2 linked regions of the Drosophila melanogaster genome follow. The protein of the gene in region 1 interacts with the protein of each later gene in a pairwise test. Each region holds a gene or a part of one and is shown on either strand. Other genes may lie near its edges.

Evidence for each region.
Region 2: the proteins of Cox11 (region 1) and CG7889 interact in a two-hybrid assay, tested with the Drosophila melanogaster proteins (one large-scale study listed by BioGRID).

Annotation. Positions count from the first base shown.
Region 1 is NT_033779.5:5,525,356-5,530,201, reverse strand, and holds Cox11 (cytochrome c oxidase copper chaperone COX11), read right to left. Parts: upstream 3,246-4,846; 5' UTR 3,128-3,245; coding exon 2,402-3,127; 3' UTR 2,348-2,401; downstream 1-2,347. Other genes in the region: CG31915 (uncharacterized protein), read right to left, coding at 38-1,682, 1,756-1,949; Cap-D3 (chromosome associated protein D3), read right to left, coding at 3,548-4,253; Elp4 (elongator complex protein 4), read right to left, coding at 4,479-4,846.
Region 2 is NC_004354.4:19,234,591-19,251,960, reverse strand, and holds CG7889 (uncharacterized protein), read right to left. Parts: upstream 8,331-17,370; 5' UTR 8,222-8,330; coding exon 8,150-8,221; intron 8,085-8,149; coding exon 7,304-8,084; intron 7,243-7,303; coding exon 7,136-7,242; 3' UTR 6,737-7,135; downstream 1-6,736. Other genes in the region: Hs3st-B (heparan sulfate 3-O sulfotransferase-B), read right to left, coding at 700-1,207, 1,759-2,222, 2,638-2,820; CG7992 (uncharacterized protein), read left to right, coding at 4,847-4,907, 4,967-5,224, 5,566-6,689; CG14196 (uncharacterized protein), read left to right, coding at 13,494-13,652, 13,792-14,062, 14,221-15,456, 15,648-15,784; CG7884 (uncharacterized protein), read right to left, coding at 16,561-16,647, 16,828-16,958, 17,091-17,370.

The sequences.
Region 1 (4,846 bases):
AGTCAAAAATTTGGCATGGTTTTTGTTCGGTAGAAATCTACAGTTCCTGGTGGCTCTTGGACAAGCTCTCGCCCAGCTTGAGTTCCGGATTGAGCTTGAATTCCTGCTCATGGTCGAAAACCTGCTCTCGATCGCTCTTTAGCCTGGCCTCGCCCTCCTCGCTCGTCTCCACGCTGATTTGTTGCGAGTCCTCGGTGTCGGATATATAACCAGATTCACCAGTATAGTAAATGGGATACAGCAGAAGCGGCGAGGCGCTGAAGGCAACAAGATTACGCTTGGGAAAGGCTTCCGTCCACGTTTTGTTCGGATGACGATCGAACATCAGCGGCAGAAACTCATCGACCGGTATGAGCTTGTCCAGCGGCTTGGCGGCCAGCAGTTTCAGTGCACCCTGCAGGGATATAACGTAGCCCAGTGTCCAGTACGAGTAGCCAGCGTGCACCAGATTATCCGCATTCTCCACAGCCGGCTCGCTTTCCTCCTTCAAACGTTTGCGGCCAAAGTAAATCAGGTCGTACTGTGCGGCATTCCTGGCCTGGTTGAGAATTCTGACTGCGTTCTGTCGGAAATACGGCTCGAAACGTATATCGTCCTCCAGAATGAGCACCTCCTTCAGTTGCTTGCGCACCATCATCACCCAGATGTTGTAGTGGCTCAGAAAGCAGCCAATCTCGCCCATTGTCATCGCCCGATGATGATAGGGATCCTCGTAGCCGGGCAGAAATCGTACGCCCATCTCCAGCAGCCTTTCCGTGCTCAGTTCTTTGCCATCAACGGCCGGGAAGTGCTCCGCCTCTATTCCGATCTCGTCGAACAGCCTTTCCATTTTCTCTCGCCGCTCGGGTCGTCTTTTTAGATTAATCATAAATATGCGGTCCAAGGAGAGTTTGCTCTTCTCCGGTTTCTTCTCCAAATGCTTGTAGTAGTCCAGCAGTGGCGGCACTGCGCCGAGTTCATTGACCATAATGCTCTTGAGGTTCACCAGCTGTTGTACGTCGTGGTCCAAGGTATCGCCTGGTTCCAATGGCTGCAGTATATAACCAAAGGTTATGTCGTTGCAAATGTGCAAGGGAATGCCTGAACTGTTGGCCGATATGGCGAACACAATGATGTCATCGGCTGGTCCATCGTACAGTGGCTCTTGCTGTCGGGATTTCTGCAATTCCACCAGCTTGTTCCTATCGAAGGTGAGATTCCTAACCGCTCGATGGTTCATGTTCACCAAAACGGCTGTGTGGACCATTGGCACTGGGAAGCTGCCTTGCTTTTTCACATGATAGATTTCCTTGTACTCATCGGTGCGTCTGTAGTAGTAGTCCTCCGTCATGCCACACCAGAAATTCGAGTATAAGCTCTCCGAGATCAGCATGGGAGCCACAATTGGTAATTGGAGTCGGGTGAGGACTTTTAGCGAATCTTTTGAAGTTAGCAAGACATCGGCGTCCAGGAAAAACACGTAGTCAGCCCAAATATCGCGACCATACTGAAAGGCCTCCTCTTTCAGGGCGATTAGGTGCTTGAAACGCGATGCGGGCCACTCGTACGGTGAAGTCCCGTTGACAAAGCTCTGCTCCTCCGGCTTAAATTCGTAGCTTACGCTGTGATAAAGATCCCCCGAGTTGTCCAGCCACTGCCGCAATAGCTCTATGCTGTCATCGTTGCTGTGATCACAGCGCAACCTGAGATATTTCCAAACCAGAGGTAAGATTTGCAATTTTCAATTCCATATCTAAATGAGTTCACTTTACTAACCAAATTGCTATTCTTTCCTTTGGATAGTCCTGCTGCTCCAGGTAGCTGAGGAACATGGGCAGTATGTGGGCTTTGTTCCGCACCAGCAGGGCAATCAGTACCGTTGGCGACTCCTGGTAATCCTCCTCATCCTGTCCTGAAATGCACACCAAAATGCAAGCGAGGAGCAGGCCGAATATAACTTGTTTGTTCATCTCCACGTCATCGATTAAACGCAACGCCGGGTTCAAAGGGGTCACAGTACACAATCTGGCGGAGCGGAAGCGTCCGGTTCGTTTGAAATGCGCCGGAGAATCAGATTCGGCGTTATCTATTAATAAACTGCCTCCTTCTTTTCCAGCTCCAGATGGAGTGCCGCTCAAACTGCATCAGCTGCGGCGCCTCTCAAACTGTGCTGTTATCGTTTGTTATCGATTTTAATGGATTTAAATGAATTTCAGTCGGAAATCCATAGTTTAGCTCCATAGTTTCTTAAAGATCCTTTCATTTGATTAATAAGTTTAAAAACATTTCTTTACAAACTTTCAAGGCAGAACATTTCATACAGCTTAATGAAGAAGAACTAGCATACAGAATGACTGGAATATTTTCTACTTGGCATAACAAATATTTATTGTTTTAAAACAAAGACCTAAGCACTTTCCCTTCACGCACTTGCCGCATGAGGTTTTGCATAGCTGGGGAAGTTCAGTTTCAGACCCTCCTTGGCCTCGAAGAAGGTGTACGAAAGGGTGATGGTGTCACAGGTCTCCAGCGCCGGATCTGCCGTTATTTCGGGATCGATGTAGAAGAAGACGGGCATGTCCACCTCCTCGTGTGGATTCAGTTGCTGTTCCTCGAAGCAAAAGCATTGGATTTTGTTGAAATACGCGCCCGCCTCGAAGGGAATCACATTGTACGTGCTGATGCCAATTACCGGCTTATCCGTGGGATTTCGCGCCGTGTAAAAGGCCAGAGCAGTCTCGCCAGGAGCTACTTTGATCTCGTACTGCTGCGGCTTGAAGTTCCAGCGCATCGAGGATCCAATGTCGGCGTTGAAACGGATCTTCAGCACCCGATCCTCGATCTTTTTCATGTGCTCCACCTTTTCGGCATCGTGCCCCTGCGTGGTGGTCCCTCCGTAACTGTAGGCCTGGCAGAAGATGCTGTACAGCGGCACAGCAGCATAGCTCAGGCCCACAATCAGCACACCGCCGGCGGTTATGTAGTAGAGTGTGGATTTCGCACGCAATTTACGGGCGGCATCCTCCGGAGAATCCGTCGATTTCATGCGCCAAAATTGTTGTGACTTATGGACTGAGTTTTGAGGGCGGATGGAGCTCCTGAACAGTTGCTGGCATTGTCCACGGAGGGCACAAAGGCTGCGCATCATCGTTAGATCTTTATTTGATCCAATTAACGTTAACTTTGCCTTAGGATTTCATTTATTTTAGCACTTGTTTGTATAATCTTCAGTTCGTTAAGTGTGCGGCAGTGTGTACACACCTAGCTAAATCAGCTGTTCGCAAGTAATCACAGACAATCGATAGGCAAAGAAGTTTGTCATCGGCAGCGGAATTTCTCAAAAAATACAATTCTTGCAAATAAGCTAAACTATAAACAAACTGGCTAAACATTGTTAAAATATTATTTGAACAAGACACTACCACGGTTGATTATGCAATAGGTAACTACTTGTCAAACAAATAGTTTTGGCGCCAAAAACTTGTTAGCAATAATCTCGAAATTTCGCCTTCGTTTGTTCTTAAATTTAAAGTTACTAAATAAGTATAACATAATGGGTTACACTTACATGTATTTTGATATCCCATTTTAAAGTTCATGTAGAGCACCTCCAGCAGACAACGAATGATCCTGTCGCGCGTTTTCAGGTGCTCCTTGAAGTGCACGTAGCGAAAGACGATCTTCAGGTCATCGCAGATCGTCAGGAAGAACATCCAGATCATGCTAGCGCGTAAGCTTTTGTTATTGTTCATCTCCAGAAGACGGAAGACCTTGAGAACCTGTTCGATCACATCCTCGTCGAAGACGCCAAAGATTTTGGCACCAGGAATGGTCAAAGTGAGCAGGTAGGTTGTAGCCGCATTGAGGGCTAGCTGCATATTGATGTTCTCATTCAGCTGCTGCGGAGCAGCCTGCTGCACATGCTCGGGCAAAACCACCAGGCTCACAAGCGAGTATATATACGTCAGGTAGCCAAGCGCTGGAGAAAATCCAATTAAGTTGGACCAATTGTCGTGGGTGTTGCTATAGCTGGCCTGGTTCTCGTCTCTCATGGCTCGTATGATGGCGGATAAGTCCCGGAGCAACTGCAGCTGCGTCTCCTGGTGGCCACCATCCTGCAGGCACATGGCCATAGTCCAGAACTTCTCCGCCCGCTGCTGCAGCACACTGCCCTCGGCCTCCTCGCCGTACAGCCACTCCTCCACATCCACCCACTGCACATTCGGCTCGTAGTACACCCTTAAATCCCCAAAAATACGATGGAAATCCGACATGTTTACATTTTAGGCGTCCCGTTGCCAAACACAAACCGATGACCAAACCGAACAGCTGAGCGCAATGCAGGGCAATCGATAAACGATAAGACGAGAAGAGCGGTTTGTTTTCAAAATGGTACAAAATCAGGGCTGATATATTAATGCATTTACTTGGCTTATTATTATGCAATTTAGTTGTTTCGTGGTTACATACGCGCACTTAGTTTCTAATTCCGCTGACAGCTAGAAATCCAGCGAGGCTGTGGCATTGGAATTGCTCAGTAGACCAGAGATGCAATTGTCCGGCTTGGCAGATGACTCCTGCAGCTCCGGGGGCAGATGGAACTTTTCGATGATGAACTTCTTGCGGCGCAACTTGAAGGCCAAGTCCGGGGTTTCCGGCATGTGCACGGCCAGCGTATTGATGGCCGACATCTTGTGCAAATGGAGCAGGCCACTGTACTCCTTGAAGGCTGGGTGCGTTTCACGCTCCGAACCGGCAAACGACTCCAGTTCGATGGCATAGTCCACCAGTTGGCGGATCTTGGGCACTAGGCTGGCATCGTACTTGGCAATCAGGTGCATGGGCATCGTGATCAGGCACACGGAGT
Region 2 (17,370 bases), on another chromosome or scaffold:
TGGAACTATGCATACAATATTTTGTATATGTTTAGTTTAGGAGACTGTAGGAATTTCGTAGTAAGCTCTATTTTTTCACTATTCTTGTATATAAATGCACATAATGATCTTAGGTATAATGATCTTAGGTAGTGGTAGTACATAGCAATGTGTGTGCCCAGCGGACGGGGGAACCATGTCCATCTCGGATCGAACGTGGCTCCTCCACGTCCAACTGCCTGACATTCGAGTATAGTGGGAAAAGTGAGTTTCATTTCATTTCATTTCATTTGAATTGAATTGGAGTGAGGAACCGTATTGTTTGAGTGCGGACTTTTCAGGTTGCGCACTTCGTTGAATTTGTCTCCTGATAAAGCTACAATTAATTGAGCACTAACTTTATGTGTGTGTGTATATACTATATATAAGTACAATTATATGTATCAAAAATGCAATCAACAATATCAGTCCGTTGCCGTGGCCAGCAACAACAATATCTCCTATTCTCAAACTCCATTCATTTCACGCCCGCTGAAACGGAAATTGATACCAGATATTAGGGATTAGGGCTTAGGGATAGTCAAGCATACTCCAATGGGGATGGATGTGATATGTAAATTGAGCAGATCAGTGAAGGTGCCTAGCCTCTGGCCAATCCAATCCATTTCGGTACTAGCCTTGCACGTATCCCAGTTCCGTCTACTCACCCAGCCGTGGATCCTATGGCCAGGCGAAGTTGATGCCCGTCAGCTGGTAGAACTTGTTGTTGAAGGGCCGGTAGAACTCCCGGAGGCGCTCGATGGCCCCGGGATCTATGTGCGGATGGTTGCGCCCCTTGGTCTTACCCAGACAGTGGGGCGTGGAGCGTGCCTCCGACTTGAAGAGGCAGGGGAAGCCCTTGGTGGCATTGAAGTAGAAGTGCTTCTCGGTGACCACGCGCTTCAGACCGAGGAAGTCCTGTACGCGTCCAATCTCGTAGGCGGGATCCATGATCAGCCGCTCGCCGCTGATGAAGAGCAGCTGCGAGAGCGGAAAGTAGAGCAGCCAGCGCTCCAGATAGCGTGCATAGACGCCGATCTTCACCGGGCCCCAGTTGGTGTCCACCACCGAGTAGCTACCGTTGACGAAGGCCAGCTGCTCGAAGAGCTTCATGTCCGCCTTCTTGCTCGCCGCCTGTGTGTAGTCGGAGATGGCCCGCGTCACCGGATCCCGCACCACAATCAGTAATCTACGGGCGTATAAAATTGAGGTTAAGTGAAGATATGCTAGTGATTGATGGTCCAGATACGTAGGGTTAATGTAAAACGCATAATGCATTTAGAATATAATGTTAATCCCTTCTATGTTGATCAAATCGAATGTTGTATTCCGAAAACCATTTCACTTAAGGTGCTTAAAAGTATGATAAAACCTAAAACAAGTTCTAAAGTCTTGTGTATAAAGCACATATTTAAAAGGACTCAATATTTAAGGGATATCCGCCTTAAAAATCTCAGCTAAGCGTTTGAAACACTTTTATTATATAGTATGCTACGATTTACGTACGGTTTCAATATTTAAGGGATATCAAATCGGCCTTAAAAAGTATCTCTCTTCAATTTTCAACACTTCTATTATAGGTGCTAAAAAGTATGCTATGACTAAATACAGTCTTGTGGATAAAGTGCAGTATTCTAAAAATATCATTTTTAAGAATTGACCGTTTTTAAGTTCTATCAAATCTGATGGAGTAACAATTTACGATTATGATCACAATAGGTTTGATGTAGAAAAGCTCACTTTGTTGCCGGATTCATGTGGTAGACGCGCTGCGGCACCTCCTTGGTGACGAAGTAGCTGGGCGTCTTCTCCATGGTGATCTGGCCCTCGATAGTGTACGGCATGTGGTGGCGGTACCAGCGTAGTCCCCGCTGGTAGTGCCTGTCGAAGAAGTGCACCTCCGAACCGGCGGCCCGCACGTCCGGATGCAGGCGGATGAACTCGAGCAGCGCCCGCGTCCCGCTCTTCTTCACGCCAATGATGAGCGTGTCGGGCAGGTGGCGCGATGGTCGGAGCCCCTGCTGACGGAGCAGCTGATACTTGGGCGCCCCATCCAGGCTGCTAGTAACCGTCTGTGCCGGCGGAGCACCGGTGGTGGATGAGCTGTTCCTGCTGCTGCTGCTGTTGCTGCTGCTGCTGTTGGCGGCGTTATTGGTCTCGTTGCGGGGCGAGGAGGTCAGCGCCAGTAGATTGCGTAAGTTGCTCTGCGCGGGAGAGGTCAGAGGTCAATGCCACACATCGTGCGAAACATATCAACATATTGGCTTATGAAAATGCCCAACTTGTAAGTATGCCGAAAAGTATGCAACTATAAATGTACATATATATAATCGTATATATGTATGTAGATAGCATCGCAAAGTTCAGCGAAAGACAAAACTTAAACTTTTCACAGCACACTTTTGGACAGCTTGTTAAATGTTTTGAAACCGCTGGGGATTATTACAACCCCCCCCCCCCCCCTAATTTTGAGTTGGCTCCACTTTACACATGTGTGTAGCGAAACTTTATATTCGATTTTCCAATTATCAGTTTGTTTTCATGAATAAATGCATTGGATATTGGATACATTTAGCCCCTACACTTAGACATTGTCCAGTGATTCGTGGACATATTCACCTGCTGCAGACTGCGACTGATGCTGGCCAGGAGGCAGGCATTGAAGCTGTAGGAGAAGTAGACCAGAGTCACGCAGATCACCAGGGCGATGGCCAGGCTGCGGCTGCTCAGGCTGAGGCTGCTGCACCAGATGCTCATCACAATCATGGCTGGCTGGGCGCTAGTGGCTGCCGTGTCTCGCATCTGGCGGTATAATCGGTTCCGAGCGCTCCGTCAAATTCCATTGCCACTCAGTCGCCCCGGAGCACTGCCTGCAGCATCCGGATTCCGATTGTGATTTGCAATCGCAGCAGCGGCTGGCGGCTACCGCCAACGCGAAGTCAACTGAAGGAATGGGGCTGTTCGCAACGCTGGAGCTGCTGGTAGTTGCTGGTGGTTGCTGCTGCTGTTAGGTGGCTGGTGGGTGGTTGGTGTGGTTGGGGTGGTGCTGGCGCTACGAGTTCGGCCTGCAAGTGCCGGAGCTGTCGTCGCAGCCGAGTTGCGGAAGTGAAAGCCAGGGATAAGGCAGGGCCAAGACATTGGGGTGCCCTGCCAGCGGATAAGCGCTGCCTGGGCCGCCGGTTCGGCTCCGTTTGTGCAGGATGACAGGATGGGTGGGGGAAGCGGCCGTGTCATGGTTGCGCCTGGGAAGCGCACAGGCGCATTGGACACATCCTCTCTCGTCTCGGGACGCTTATGCAACTGAGCGTTTTGCTTGCTCTCTCGCCAGCTCGTCGAATCGCCGTTGGTGTGACGTCGCAAATGTACACTGCCCGAAAGAAGTGCCAAGTCTTGAATGTAGCAGATAATTAATGTAGTGACAGCTTGCTATCACATCATGTCTTTAAGAAAGAAAGCAGACATATATAGTTAAATCAAAAGATACTAAAATCTGAAGAATTTCCGCTTTGTGAGGGTTTGACGAAATCTTTGCTTTCTACACAAATCAAATCTTAATAAATAAGTATTTCACTTAAGTTAGTAATTAATTTCCAAGTCTGATAAAGTTATATTTATATTAAGCAATAATAATAGACATTATTGATTTGTTAATTTCTAACTTCACAACGAATACATGATAAAATGTACTCCAAAAACGCAATCGTTAAGTAGTATTTCTAATATTTTTTATTATTTCTAAAAATGTATATATGTATATAGTTTGTTATGTAGGCTGGGAATGCCATCTTAATATTTATTCGACCATAATCTTTTCGTATACGGCCTTTTATTTTCTTACTTCCTGTCGCAACTCTCTCTCTCTCTCTTTTTTGCTCTCGGCTTCAATCAATTTTCCGCTCAAAGGTAAACAAACTAACCAAGAACTTACCCCCACCCACTTTGGCAACCAACCACCCACCCACAACCCAACCACCCCATTTGCGTCTGATAAAGTACTTGCTGGCATTTAATATTGGATTGAAATCAATTTACCAAGCATTATCGCCGGACGTTCTATTGCCCGTACTCCTATCACCATTAGCCATTTGAGATTAGTTTTAAGCCCTATCGTTGGAATGGCCCAATGGCCTTTGCCACATTGTTTTCTTATGCATATGAAAGGCCAAAAAATTGTACGTTTCCGTGGCAGCGTGGTAAATAGTAGGGGCCCTCAGTTGGGCCAACTGCCAAGGAGCTTATCAACCGGCGGACATCTGTTTATCTGTCCAAGTGGCTTATTCCACTGCGGCATTAGTCACTCACTTTGGGATACACTGGCGAAAAAAGCGCCAGGAAATTCGATCATATAAATTGGGGTAAAAATATTTACATAAAATGGGAAATATAGTACTTCGAGTAATGCCATAGATAGATACTTGCTCAAAAAAAGATACATTCAGGTACAAAAAAAAACATTGATCTATAACCAACGAATTTCTCCACAAGATGCGCAACATAATCGGATTTCCTTTTGACTATCATAATTCATGAACCCGAGCGGAGAAATGGCTAGATAATCCCAAACCCTCAACTTTTCCGCCCGTGTATCCATGGCCACCACACACATGCACCTGGTCGGGTCGGGTTGGCTTATCTTATCGCCTTATCTGCGCCGCCTTCGTCGCAGTCGAATTCTCCGCCGGACTTCCACCGGCCCATTTGCCATTTGTCCGGCGTCGCATCGTAGGCATCTCCATTCCAGCTGCTCGCTAAAATGCTCTAAGCTCCTTCGATAGACGAACCTTCCTCTCCCTGCTGCTGGACTAACTAACGCAAATCTATCGCAAAAATGTCGAATGTGTGGGGCAAACTGGTGCTGAAGTTCTTTAAATATGCGCCCAGCTATGTGGGTGAGTTAGCCACGCCAATGGAGATCCTTGTCCAGAGATTACGTCTCATTCACTTCCAGTCTGCCTGTGCTTCCTGCCCTGCGGCATGATCTTTGGCTATACGATCTGCGCCTTTGTTGCGGAGCGGAACCTCAACGCTGGACTCATTCACTATGGACCATTGATTCTGGGCGCCTGCTGGGCGTTGATCACTGCCCTGGCCATGCTGACGGTCAAGTTCGTGAAGAAGTGCATCGTCTACTGGCAGCCATGGCTGCTCCTGGCAGCCGGAGTCTTTAATCTCATAGGCAGCTGCTTCTACTTTGCCGATGGATTTGGTGAGTCATTTCTATGGGCTATTAATTCGCTTCGAAAGGCTTGTGAAAAGTAAATCAATCTGTATCTATATGGCTGGAACTGGGATGTTCTACATATAAGTTTTGAAATAGATTTCAGTTAACAATACTTGAATTTATTTCCCAATAGAGAGAGAGAGAGAGGCAAAGTGATTTGCAATCTGAAAATGATTCGATCTCGATCTGAGTATGTTGAGCATGATTCAATCTTGGCTAGATTTTGAAATCTATATTCTTAAATCAATATCGTTAAGAAATGTTTTGAATGTATGATTTCAGCGAGTTTTTCCAATTCCTTAATCCCACTATTATTATCACTTCAGACCACGTCGGAGCCTATATATCGTACTTGGCGCACAGCATGACCTTCGTGGCCGGCTATAGCTTCCTGCTCACGATCAGCTCCAAGGGCAGCAGGTCGCTGTTCCTCTCGGGCAGCTGCAGCTGCTACCTGCTGGGCGTGGCGTCCGCCGTCAGCCTGATCGTGGCCTCCTACAGCCGGAATGTAAAGGAGCTGGCCGGACAGACGGTGACCACGGAGCAACTGATCGATGGCATCTATGTAAACTTCGCCGGCACCTACTTGAGTGTGGCGGCCGCCGTGTTGGCCATTCTGGTGGGCCAGAAGGTGCTCCACTTTCTGGGCACCGTCGACCTGGTGAACAGCATGGACAACGACCTGCGGATCGCCAACTCGAATGGCAGCATCTTCGAGCAGCGATCGGAGGTCATCAAGCGACTGCAGTTCTTCTACGTGACCAAGAACCAGCAGTGGAACATAATGCTACTGCTCCTCTTCACGGAGGCCGTGCAGTTCGCCCTGTTCGTGTACTTTGTCTACTGGTTTGCCCTTAATCCGGCCATCCGGCTGACAGAGTTCTCCGGCATCGACGGCATGTTCTGGGTGATCTTTGCGGGCAGCCTGCTGGCCCTCATCTGCCAGTGGTTCCTGTCGGTGAAGGTCACCTTTGTGGGCTCGCAGGTGGCCCTCATCTCCTTCACTCTGCTGGCCATGATCCTCTGCAGCGTTACGGACTCCAGGTGGTCGCTCTGGCTGCTCCTTGTGCTCTTTGGCCTGTCGTACTCGCAGCAGCAGATTCTCCTGCTGGAGGTCACCCATCTGCGCTTCACCGAATGCATCATATGCATCTCGTATGTGCTCAAGTTGATCTGCACCAGCATCGTGTACTTCTACTTTGTGGCGGATGCGAAGAACTCCTACTTCTATGCCACCGACTCGAGCACTCTGATGGCCCAGGGATTCGTCTTTCTCATCATCACCTCGCTGCTGGCACTCGTGGTGGGCATGAAGGTGCCCCGGACGCATCGCGCCCAGCTGCTGGAGATCCAGTACGAGGTGTACGGCATCATCTTTATGAAGCACCAGATCGAGCAGCTCAACGTCCGTTGGCTGAACGACGGCACCATTCCCACCATCAACCAGTGAGCCCGAATTTGAGCTTAGGTCCCCGAGCTGTACACACACACTTTCTTATCTTATCACAAATACTCAGTATTTAATGAATCGAAAATAAAAAGACTTCTCAGTCTTTATCCACATACAATTGGTGACAACAGAAATAGGAGCCTGAGTTGAAGAAGCTATAAATTTCGTCTATATATCAAGGCATATAAACGACTTAAGAATATTAAATATAGAACTATAACTGCTTAAGTCAAATTCTTTGGAAATTAGATACAAAACTTCTGATATACACATTTTCATATGATCCGCCTAAAAGGTTTTGCAGTTGTATCTTTATCATCATTAAAGAGCTGTAAATTCTTTTCCAATTTTCCAAACAATCCCAATAGAGATACAATCAAGGCCTTAAGTGGGTTCCAGATAGTGGGTGTTTGTTTACGTGGTGTAGGTTTATTTTAGGACTAAAACTAGCGTCTTATGGAGATAATCTGGACGGCGGCGGTGTGATCGCGACAAAAGTGGCTGGCACAGGCCGATACGTTCGCACATGGAGTCACCTTGTAGCCACTGTCACCTGGAGGATAATATGCTTAGTTATGCGGGCGTTCCCCATCTGGAGATATGACATGACTCACCCAGCTGGGTCATGAACTTGTGCAGCGTGTCCACATTCCGCACCGTGCTGGCCAGCAGGGTTTCCAGTCCACCTCCGCGTCGGGAGTACAAATAGTCCATGGCACCCAGCAGTGCATCGAACTGGGAATCATCGTAGATCACATCGGCGGCTATCAAAAGATCCGTTTTAGCATGCGAATCCCAGGGGAACTCACTGACCGCAGCCCAGTTTAGCTGCTCCGCCTGGGGCATCTGCTCCTTGGGCGTGTCTGGAAAATTCAGGCTGATATTCTCGCGCATTAGCTGGACGCAGGGTTCACTGCCATCGGTCAGCAGGACCTGGCCCACTTGCAGCTGCAGGGCCGGTAGTTTCAGCATGATTCCCAGCAGCCCGGCACCGGCTCCCAACTCCACTATGTTCTTGCCACGCACCAGGTCGCGGTGCTGCAGGAGGTAATCGCCGAGGGCCAGAGCCGCTTCCCAGGTGCACAATCCCGTTGTGCCCTCGGCCACGAAGCTGGTGGACTCACGGAGCGTGATGTGGGCGCCCGGTTCGAGGAGATAATGTTTGTAGGCGTACGTGGATGACCCTGTGCTCGCTTCGTTCTCCGCCACCGGACCGCACAAGCTGCTGTATATATCGTCGTGCAGATCTTCCTGATCTCCGAGCAGGAGTAGCAGGTGCTTGAGGAAGGCCTCCAGGTAGCTGCGACGCACAGGATAGCACTGGTTCATCGGGTGGCCACAGGTGGCCGCTAACAGCTCCTGCTGATCCTCCCAGCTGAGGGGCAGCGTGACCGACTGCAATGGACACCAAATCGATTCAACAGGTGGCCGGGTCATAATGTATCACATGGATTACTCACCGACCAGGCCATCTTGTTCACCGGATAGCAACAGAGGAACTGCTGCTGCAGCTTGCCGTACTTTCTGGACATTTTCCGTGCTCCAAGTTCCGAGTTCCTCGGCTACTCGATATGAAAACCCACTCCCAGACGAACGAAAGTGACAACGTGAATTGTACCCGGCACTTGGAGAGCAGTGTGACCAATTACCAAAAACACTCTCTGACGGAAAAACAAATGGGGTATTCCCAACTTTGGCGAGTACCTAACAATATAGAGTATATTACGAGTAATATTGATACGGCAAAACAAATACTCTATAATAAATATCTTTGCCTAATAACAAAACAATCTAGAATGTTATAGTCGTCTTCCCCGACTATCAGATACTCAGCAAGTGGAAATGCATTAGCGGAATTCAATTATTTTGATGGCATATTATAGACTTTGGGAAAAAAAAATAAAACAAAGAATTATCACACGAAAGAACGATTCGGCTATTGGTCCTGATCAAGAATATATGTAATTTTTATGGTTGGAAACGCTACCATCTAGCTATTACCAACGAATAGTATACTCTTTTACTCTACGAGTAACGGGCATACAAATATTTTTTATTATTAAATACATCACTGTGAACGGCAGTCCACGTAGTGCCGAAGCGCACCAGGAGAGTGTGCTATGTAGATATAAGTATGTATACACACAAGGAACGAAAATCTGCTGTAGTTGGCAGATAACGAGTGATACATCAAAAGGTACAAAATTTTATGGTTCCGATAAAAGTACAACAAATTGGAACTGAGACCCATCAGTTGCGTTTTAATTGCTACTGACAAAAAAACCGAAGTCTTGTTAAACCTCCGTTTGAAATATATTTTCAAAACAAGTAATTGGCCATTTTTCAAAATGAGAGTTTATGTCGATTTGGTTTTCTCCCGCAACAAAACGTTATTTGGAAAACCTAAAATATTATATTTTCTGTTAAACAACTAAATATGACCAAATTTTGGAAAAACACGTTAGCTTAGCGGAAAAACTTCTATAAATAGCTACAGTTTCTACGCCCATAACGTCTAAGCACTTGGCTCTAGAGACTTCCTTTCAAATGAATTTTGTCCACCTCGAATATTTTTACAAAGCGTGACTTATATCTTAGATATGGCAGTTTTTTAGTTGAATGAAAATGTATATCAATAGTTTTTATGTCGTTAACAGGTGATTTTTATGATACGCTATATTAAAGTTTTTATTAAAATCGAGAAAAGCTTAGTTGTAGATTTATGTAATATACCTGCACTTACTTAAAACTTAACTATATCATGTTAATAGAAAATCAAATTTAAATAAACAGTATATATTATGTTTAAGTAACAAGAACTTCTTATGAGACAAGATATAATACACATAGTTAAGCAATGCTTATATTACATAAAAAAAAAATTCGCATAGAATACTCTTTCGTCTCAAGTGGACCATCAATCATGAGTTATTCTATACTATAAGCTGGGTAGATAAAATTCAAATAAGCAAATTAAAGTAATCCAAGTCATAATTTCATAATAATTTCATAATTTTGGTCAATAAATCAAATGGGATTGTGTATATGGATAAGGCTTACAAAATCGCTGCACACTTTTGGGCATTTGGGTTCTCCACACCGGAAACAAATCCGTAGCATTTACGTGTGTATATTATGTGTGTATAGACCACATGTTAACCGAAATTTGTGATGGATAGGTTGGAGCCGCCAGTAGTTTTTAGATGGCGCGTCCAAGAAGGAACTACTACGAGTAGATGGATGGACAGATAGACATACATAGGTCAATGGATGGTCGAAACCCGAACAGCCCTGTTAGCCAACAGCAGTGGGCGCTGCTATTACGTGGACGTAGCGCCGATCGATTGGCGTTAGTCGATCCGATCTTCCCATCGGCGCTTTCTCGGCTCATGCCCATAGCAATTGGGTTCTGTTCAGATTCGGTTTAGTTGATTTTCGCAGCTGGCGGCGATGGAAGTACCGCGATTACGTCGAGCCCTCGTCAAATGAGATTTTAGCTGGGTTTTCGATTCGGTTTCGGATTTGGTTTCGGGATCATATCGCGGGCATCGTGGAATTTGTGGCATTTTGGGAATATAGCTCTATAGAGCATTCGCAGTGATTTAAGGCAAGGAGTGGCAAACCTTGAGCCTTCCCTGTGGTAACCATCAATGCTACAACCTTGAACTTCAGTCGTAGTCCACATAGCGCCTCTCAATTAGATGCAGGCCATTCAGTCGGTCTTTCAGTCATTCAGTCACTCGGTTGGTCGTTTGGTCCGCTAGTGAGTGCATCTCGTGGTGTATAAAAATAAATAGCATTAGCAGCAGCCGCAGCAGCAGCACCAGCACCCAAAATAAAAGCCATAAACCACTGGCGCAGGAAGCACTGTGCTGCCAATTGGCGAACTTGCCAAGGAGATACTATACGCGGATCCCACTGGGAATACCAAATACTAGAATACTACGTACGGAGCACAGGTAAGTAAGTGGGCGGAATCGCATCGGGAATTGGAATCGCGATGGGATATGATGGGTGCGACACGTTCACATCACACACCTCGCACGAGTTCATCCGACGTCTTTTGGAATCGTTTTTGTTTTTGCCCTGCTATCAGCAGATGTTCAAAACACCTGATTGGTTTTCAGATTATTATAGCCCTCGTTTGAGTTGAGTGACATAAGGGCGGAAAGTGGCCAAAAACATTCTGTAAGTTAGTTAAAAAACCGCAAACTAAACTCTTAATTTATGTCTTAATGAGAACACAGCGACTTGAAAGATACTCGTCGTATAGATAACTTTCTCATTTCTCTATAACTTTTCGTTTACCCAGTGAATTTTAACAAATTTCTACCAAATTAAATAAATTCTTTGAATAAAAAGTAAAGCTACATTATCAGCTTTTGATACATACATGTATAGACCCTGATTATTAAATAAAAAATCTAAAAAATGCTATTTGCATTGTGAAAAACATTAAGTACATTAGACATACATATGTATGTATGGATGTGTATCTGAGGTGTAAGTTACTCATATTTGCAAGCATAAGATACACTTATAATGTACTGAATTTCTGAATACAAATTCCAATGTTTTTCTGAATTGCATTTGAAATGCAAAGATCTAAGTGCAGTGATATTCAATCGATTTAAATGCATCTTTTAATTTGATTTAAGTTCAGAACTCCACGATTTCGTTCTCAGTGCATGCCAAAACTAGTCGAAGGCGGGAAAGTGTCAACAACCCATCGAATCGAATCATTGGCTATCTGGGGGCACAGCTGGTAGCCAAATATGTGGCTTCCACTCCAGAGCCACATGTAACCACGCTGCCCATCGCAATCTTATCACCTTATCGATGGATCCATAGTCACTGGGCTTTGCTTATCTCGATCTGTATCTGTATCTGTGTATCTAGGCCTGGGCCCATTGTTTTCCATCAACTTCAGTCAATTAAGTGTTTAGCGGCTTCGGTCTTATTGGCAATAGCATGGATGTTTACCCAAAACATTGTTGGGTAAAAAGTATAGACAAAAATCTATACTATTTCATAATGTTACGAAAGTTCAGTTGCTTAGAAAGCTTCCGACAAAAAGCAAAAAACTATTACATACAGTTTGGAAATCAAATTAAGGTTTAGTGAAACAACGAGAAAATGGGAAACATGTTGTTTCAATACGAAATACGCTATGTGTATTCGTGACTTAGTTATGAGAAATTGTCAAATAAGTTACGAGCGACGTGCAAATTTAATATTTCTGTAACTTTTAAACAACCACAAGCTTACATTAAAACGTAAGTGCAAACATTTTAGGGCAGCTGTGCTATAATTATCGAAAGTCTAAAAACTGTATAGATTTATACTACTATATGTATATTATAAAAACGTGTGGGTTCAGCCTCTCAAATATGCACTAGTATTACGTACTATGTATGTAGTGTGGCATTCTTGATTGTTTTCTCAATAGCTTGAATGCTAATTGTTTTAATTGAAGCGATTCACGCAAGTCAGTTCTCAGTGGAATAGTTTATATTTTGGATACCTGCCAATCGAATCTTCCATCCATTTCGTTAGTTTTGGAAAGCTCTATTAATCGAACTGGTTGTATTGAACTAAGTCACTATCAGTGGGCTTTTATCACACTTGCTCGCAAATCAAATCTTCCACCGGTTGTCTGCAAGCCATTTGTGGTTAGTTTTGAAGAGCTATACTAATCGAACTGGTTGATTTGACCTCAGTCGCTATCAGTGGGGGCTTGTTATCACATTTTCTCGCACCTCGTAAAACTAAATCATTACTCAATTATAGGGTGAGAAGTAAGCATTCTATTTGCAATTGCTTTAGTGAGGAACTATTGTAGTTAACTTCATTGAATAATACCATCGTCTACCATTTAAGTTGTGTCATTACTTCAGCTTCGGATTCATTCCATTGAATTCCATTTCCCATTTCGCCATCAGTCTTGTGGCTTGCACCGAATCCGCAGACACTCGAAACCATCTAGAATCTGAAATTGGCTGGAATTCAAATTTTGCCCAAACGTAGATCGAATCTGGAGCACTACGGAATACAGAATCGAACTACTGATAAGTGGACATCTTACGGACCAGACACCATTGACCTTGGGCAGGGGAATCGCTACGCTCAATCATCACACACAAAAAAATACTCTAAAGAAATGTTTAATATTCAAATAGGTTTTGATGATGCAAAATGAGCCATTGTTACACTTGGTTCTATCTGACACAAATTGTATCTTTTAATCGTAGTTTTTGACTGCCAGAAGATGCATATTTCATAGATATGACATTCCTCATTAGACCATCAACCACATTTAGCATCTTTCTGTGTGCGTAGAGGACATAAATATGATTCACAATTTGCGCGCTAACTTTGGTTTTGGTCTGCGTCTCTGGGTGGAAATCTGTCACATGACGCCGCTGATAAGGAAAGCTGCTGCTGGTGGAGAGGTAGAGGGTGAGAAGGCATTGGAAAACCGGAGATTTCGAATGTCAGATTTGGTATTCTCGTTTCTTGGTACCCAATCGTGAACCCGGGTTCTGATCAGATGGCAACAACACTGTGCCACCGATCTGCCTGCTGGCGGCGACTGGGATGGCATCTTTATAACCCGTATGCGGTTAATTGTGACAAGTGATCGTTAACGTATTGCGCCAAGTAATTGCCGTAAATCATTTACGAACTCGGCCAGCTGCCTTCAATGGAATTTTTCCCATATCACTTCCCTATTTGCATTTGTTTTCAGGGTTACGGACATGCCTTTTAATACAATATTTCTCACTGATTCGCTTACAGTTGGCCATGGAGAAGAAGGTCTATCAGGACACAACGCGACCGCTGCCCAGGGTCTCCCGTGCACGGTACTATAACAAGCACGACAAGAGCGATCTGGGCGACGACTTTGTGGCGCCCGACGCGGGATGGGCGTGGATCGTTTGCGTCGCCGCTGGCGTTTCAAATGTAGGTAAAACTAAGCCAATTTCATCCATTTCCATGTCAAATATATTTTAAGTGAATGTTAGGTGAACATAAGCATATAGTTACTGTTTCCTATTGAAGTCCTATCACTCGGAAGAACTCTAATAGATTTGCTTTACAGCTCTCCATTTACCCCTGCCTGCAACAGTTTGGCTTTCTATTCAGGGAGCGCCTGTCCGATCTGGGCATGTCCAGTTCCCAGATTACAGCCATCATTAACGCAAATCCGGCCGTATCGGCCTGCACGGGTCTGCTCAATGGACCGATGTTCCGGAGGTTCACCTTTCGCCAGGTGGCCATGGCCGGTTCTCTGCTAATCTCCGGGAGTCTCATACTAACCGCCTTCTGTGAAACCTTTCTCAGCTACATGGTGGCCTACGCCCTGTTGTTTGGTGAGTACAAAGGCATCTCGATGCACTCAAGATGTCGTTCAAAACTATCCTTTGACATTATAATTAATGAATTGCAAAGTTAAATTATACTTTATTGGATATTTTTGTTTTGAAAGCAATTGTGTTAGCTTGTCTACTAACTTTTGAACAATCCACAGGCTTTGGCATGGGCATTAGTGTGTCGGCCTCCTCGCTGGCGATCAACACGTACTTCCAGAAGAAGCGTCGTCGGGCGGCCGGGTTTTCGTGGACCATAACGGGTCTGGGACCGATCTTTCTGCCGCATCTGGTCACCTTTTTGCTGACCATTTACGGGGTGCAGGGGACCACGCTACTCTTCGCCGCCATCTCGCTGCACTCGTTCGTTTGCGCCCTGATCTATCAGCCGGTTCGGTACCATGTGAAGCCACCGGTGGAGCAGCTGGCGGATCAGGAGCAGCAGGCGGAGGCGTTGTGTGCCCACTGCTCGTGGCAGCAGAAACGCGAGCCGGGCGGCATATTCTCCAGTCAGTATCTATGCCAGGACGACGATGCCCAGCGACCGGGCTACGAGATCTGTGAGCCCGGCACACCGATGCTCTCGCGCGCCAACGATGGCTGGTATGGATCCCGGCTATCGCTGACCTCGGGCCGCCTTCGCTTTCGCACCATCTCGAGCTCCAAGGATCTGGAGCAGACGCAGCGACTGCATTGTCCCATTAGCGAGGAGCAGAACCACGAGAGCGATGAGTTCCTGCGCCCCAATAACTTTCGCAGGGAGCGGGTGGAGTCCAACCTGGAGGCCAAGCTGTGTTGCCAGTGTTCGGCCAAGCGGGAGGAGCACAACAATAACCGAAAGGAGAAGGAAGCCGAGGCTGAGGAGGCGGGAATGGAGTCGGCTCCACTGCACGATCCGCAGATGAGCTTTCTGGCCAAGGTGGTGACCTTCTTCGATCTGGACCTGCTGCGCGACTTCACCTTCGTCAATCTGGTGGCCGGACTGACCATCATAAACTTTGGGGAGCTCAACTTCTCCATACTGACGCCCTTCATTCTGGTGGACTTTGGCTTCGATACTCCACAGATTACGCTGGCCATGTCGCTGCTGGCGGGACTGGACATCACCATGCGCTTCATGGTCCCCTTCCTCACTGAGAAGATTCCGTGGGACAACCGGGTATTCTTCCTCATCGGCGTGGTGGGCATCGCTCTCGGCCGCACAGTGGTGGCCTGCACGCGTTCCTACAGCCTGATCCTCTGCAGCTTCGTGTGGATCGGTCTCTGCAAGGGAGTGCGTACCATCTTCTGGCCACTGATCATACCCGGCTATGTGCCTCTGAACCGCCTGCCAGGCGCCTCGGGACTGCAACTGCTGATCTCGGGACTATTCACCCTGATCGGTGGTCCATTTGTCGGTGAGTGCCTATAGAATCTGATACATTACCTTTGTTGTTCAATGTGGATGTAAAAAAGGATACTGTCATAAGTATCATCATTTGTTCATATATCTACATGAATATGAATCCGTATATCTCCTTGATAATATAATGAAATATCTTATCCATGGATGCAAATTTAGTTATGTTAATATTTCCCTTGTTTTTAGGCCTGGTGCGTGACCGTTACGACTATTCGGTTACCCTGCACTGTCTCAATATGATGTCCTTTGTGGCAGCAACATCCTGGTCCTTGGAGGCCCTCATCCGGCGGCATCGCCGCAAACAGCGCCTGGTGAACAGCTGAGGAGCTCCTCGGAAAGCTGTACCCCCAACTCAAAGACATTGTAGCGTAGGGAGAACTCTTTTTTTTTGTTAGACTTAAGGAAAAGTTTTGTATAATAAATGTGACCGATAATTTTTGCATTCAGTTTCGAAAAGTATACTTTTGGGATGCTTTGAAAATCAGTCAACAAACTACATTAGCAATCCATTCGTGCTGCTTTTATACAATATATTAAAAGTCCGATGATAATTTATTTATATTACGAGTAGGTACATTAAAATGACTTTGCTTGGTTTAATTTTATTCGATCGTTTGTTTGTTCATATTTGCTATATTTTGGTTGCACATCGATTATAACGTTGTCAATCGCCTGACAACCCATTCTTCGGATAGATTGAAATAGATATAATAGGTATTTTATACATAGAACTACAACTAGCAAAGGAAGAGCCAGAACGAAAAAAACACAGAGGTTACTAAAAAAAAAAAAAAGCAAAAAAGAGAATTGTGAATACAAATCCTTTTTCAAATATATATATATACTACGCGTAGCTCCACTCCTTTGGTTCTCTGATCCTCCTCATTTGTTCATAAAGCTACCAAATGCGAAAATACTCTAACTTTGATTCGGGATCTCCACTCATCGTCATAGCGCTTCCAAGGACTTTGCTCTATATCTAGGCCGTATCCTCGCTCCACATTGCGATCGGGGGGCCTGGAGGGGCGGCTGGGGTGAAATATATTACAACAGGATGGGGGGCTGTGCGGCTCCGGGCGCCTTGACCTTGCTTCGACCTCTATCTGGGCGAGGGGGACATCGTGGGCCTCGCTGTGGGTCGCTGAAGTGCCGCCGCCGTCGGCGCTGCTGTCACTATCGTGTTGACCTGCGGTGTGCGATGTATGGCGGGTGGTGGGTGGTGGTGCGTGTTTGTTGATGGGTTGTGCATGGTGTGTGGTGGTGCAATTTTATGGATGGATCAGTGTGGATGAATCAGTGTTCAGTGTGTGGTGAAGACAAGAGAGAAGCTCGATTACATGTCTAGACGAGGTGAGTTGCGATTTACTTTGGAGTTTCCGTCGATTATCTCCACGGGCTCTGCGGGCACATAGGCGGACAGTCCCATCAGCCCGAAAATGTCCGGCGTATAGTTGCGCAGCTGCGACGAGCTGGTGGGCGTGGCCGACTTCACTTCGCCTGCTTTGTGCAACAATGGACAATGAAAGCAGTTAGTTTTGAGTGGCTAATAGAAGCATATGTCCACGATCATAAATATTCTATATGGTTATGTAAGGCTCTCTCTTAGCTCCCTAATCTCCCCATCCTCACCTGGAGTTGGTCGCATCCGTGGAAACCGCGGCGCTGGCGTTTGGTAAACAGGCCTGGGCGCCGAGGCGGAGGCCACATGGCGATCCCGATGCTCCGCCGGGTGGTGCTCCTGATGCCGTGGCTGTGGCGTAACCACGTACACCTTCTCGTTGGTCTGCGGCAGGATGGCCACCTGGGCCTGTTTCCACAGCTCTTTGGGCGCCGGAGTGCTGCGCACGTAGAGTGGTGTCACCACCGTTGTCGTTGTGGTGGGCGGTGTATTGGTGGTGGTTGTGGTGCT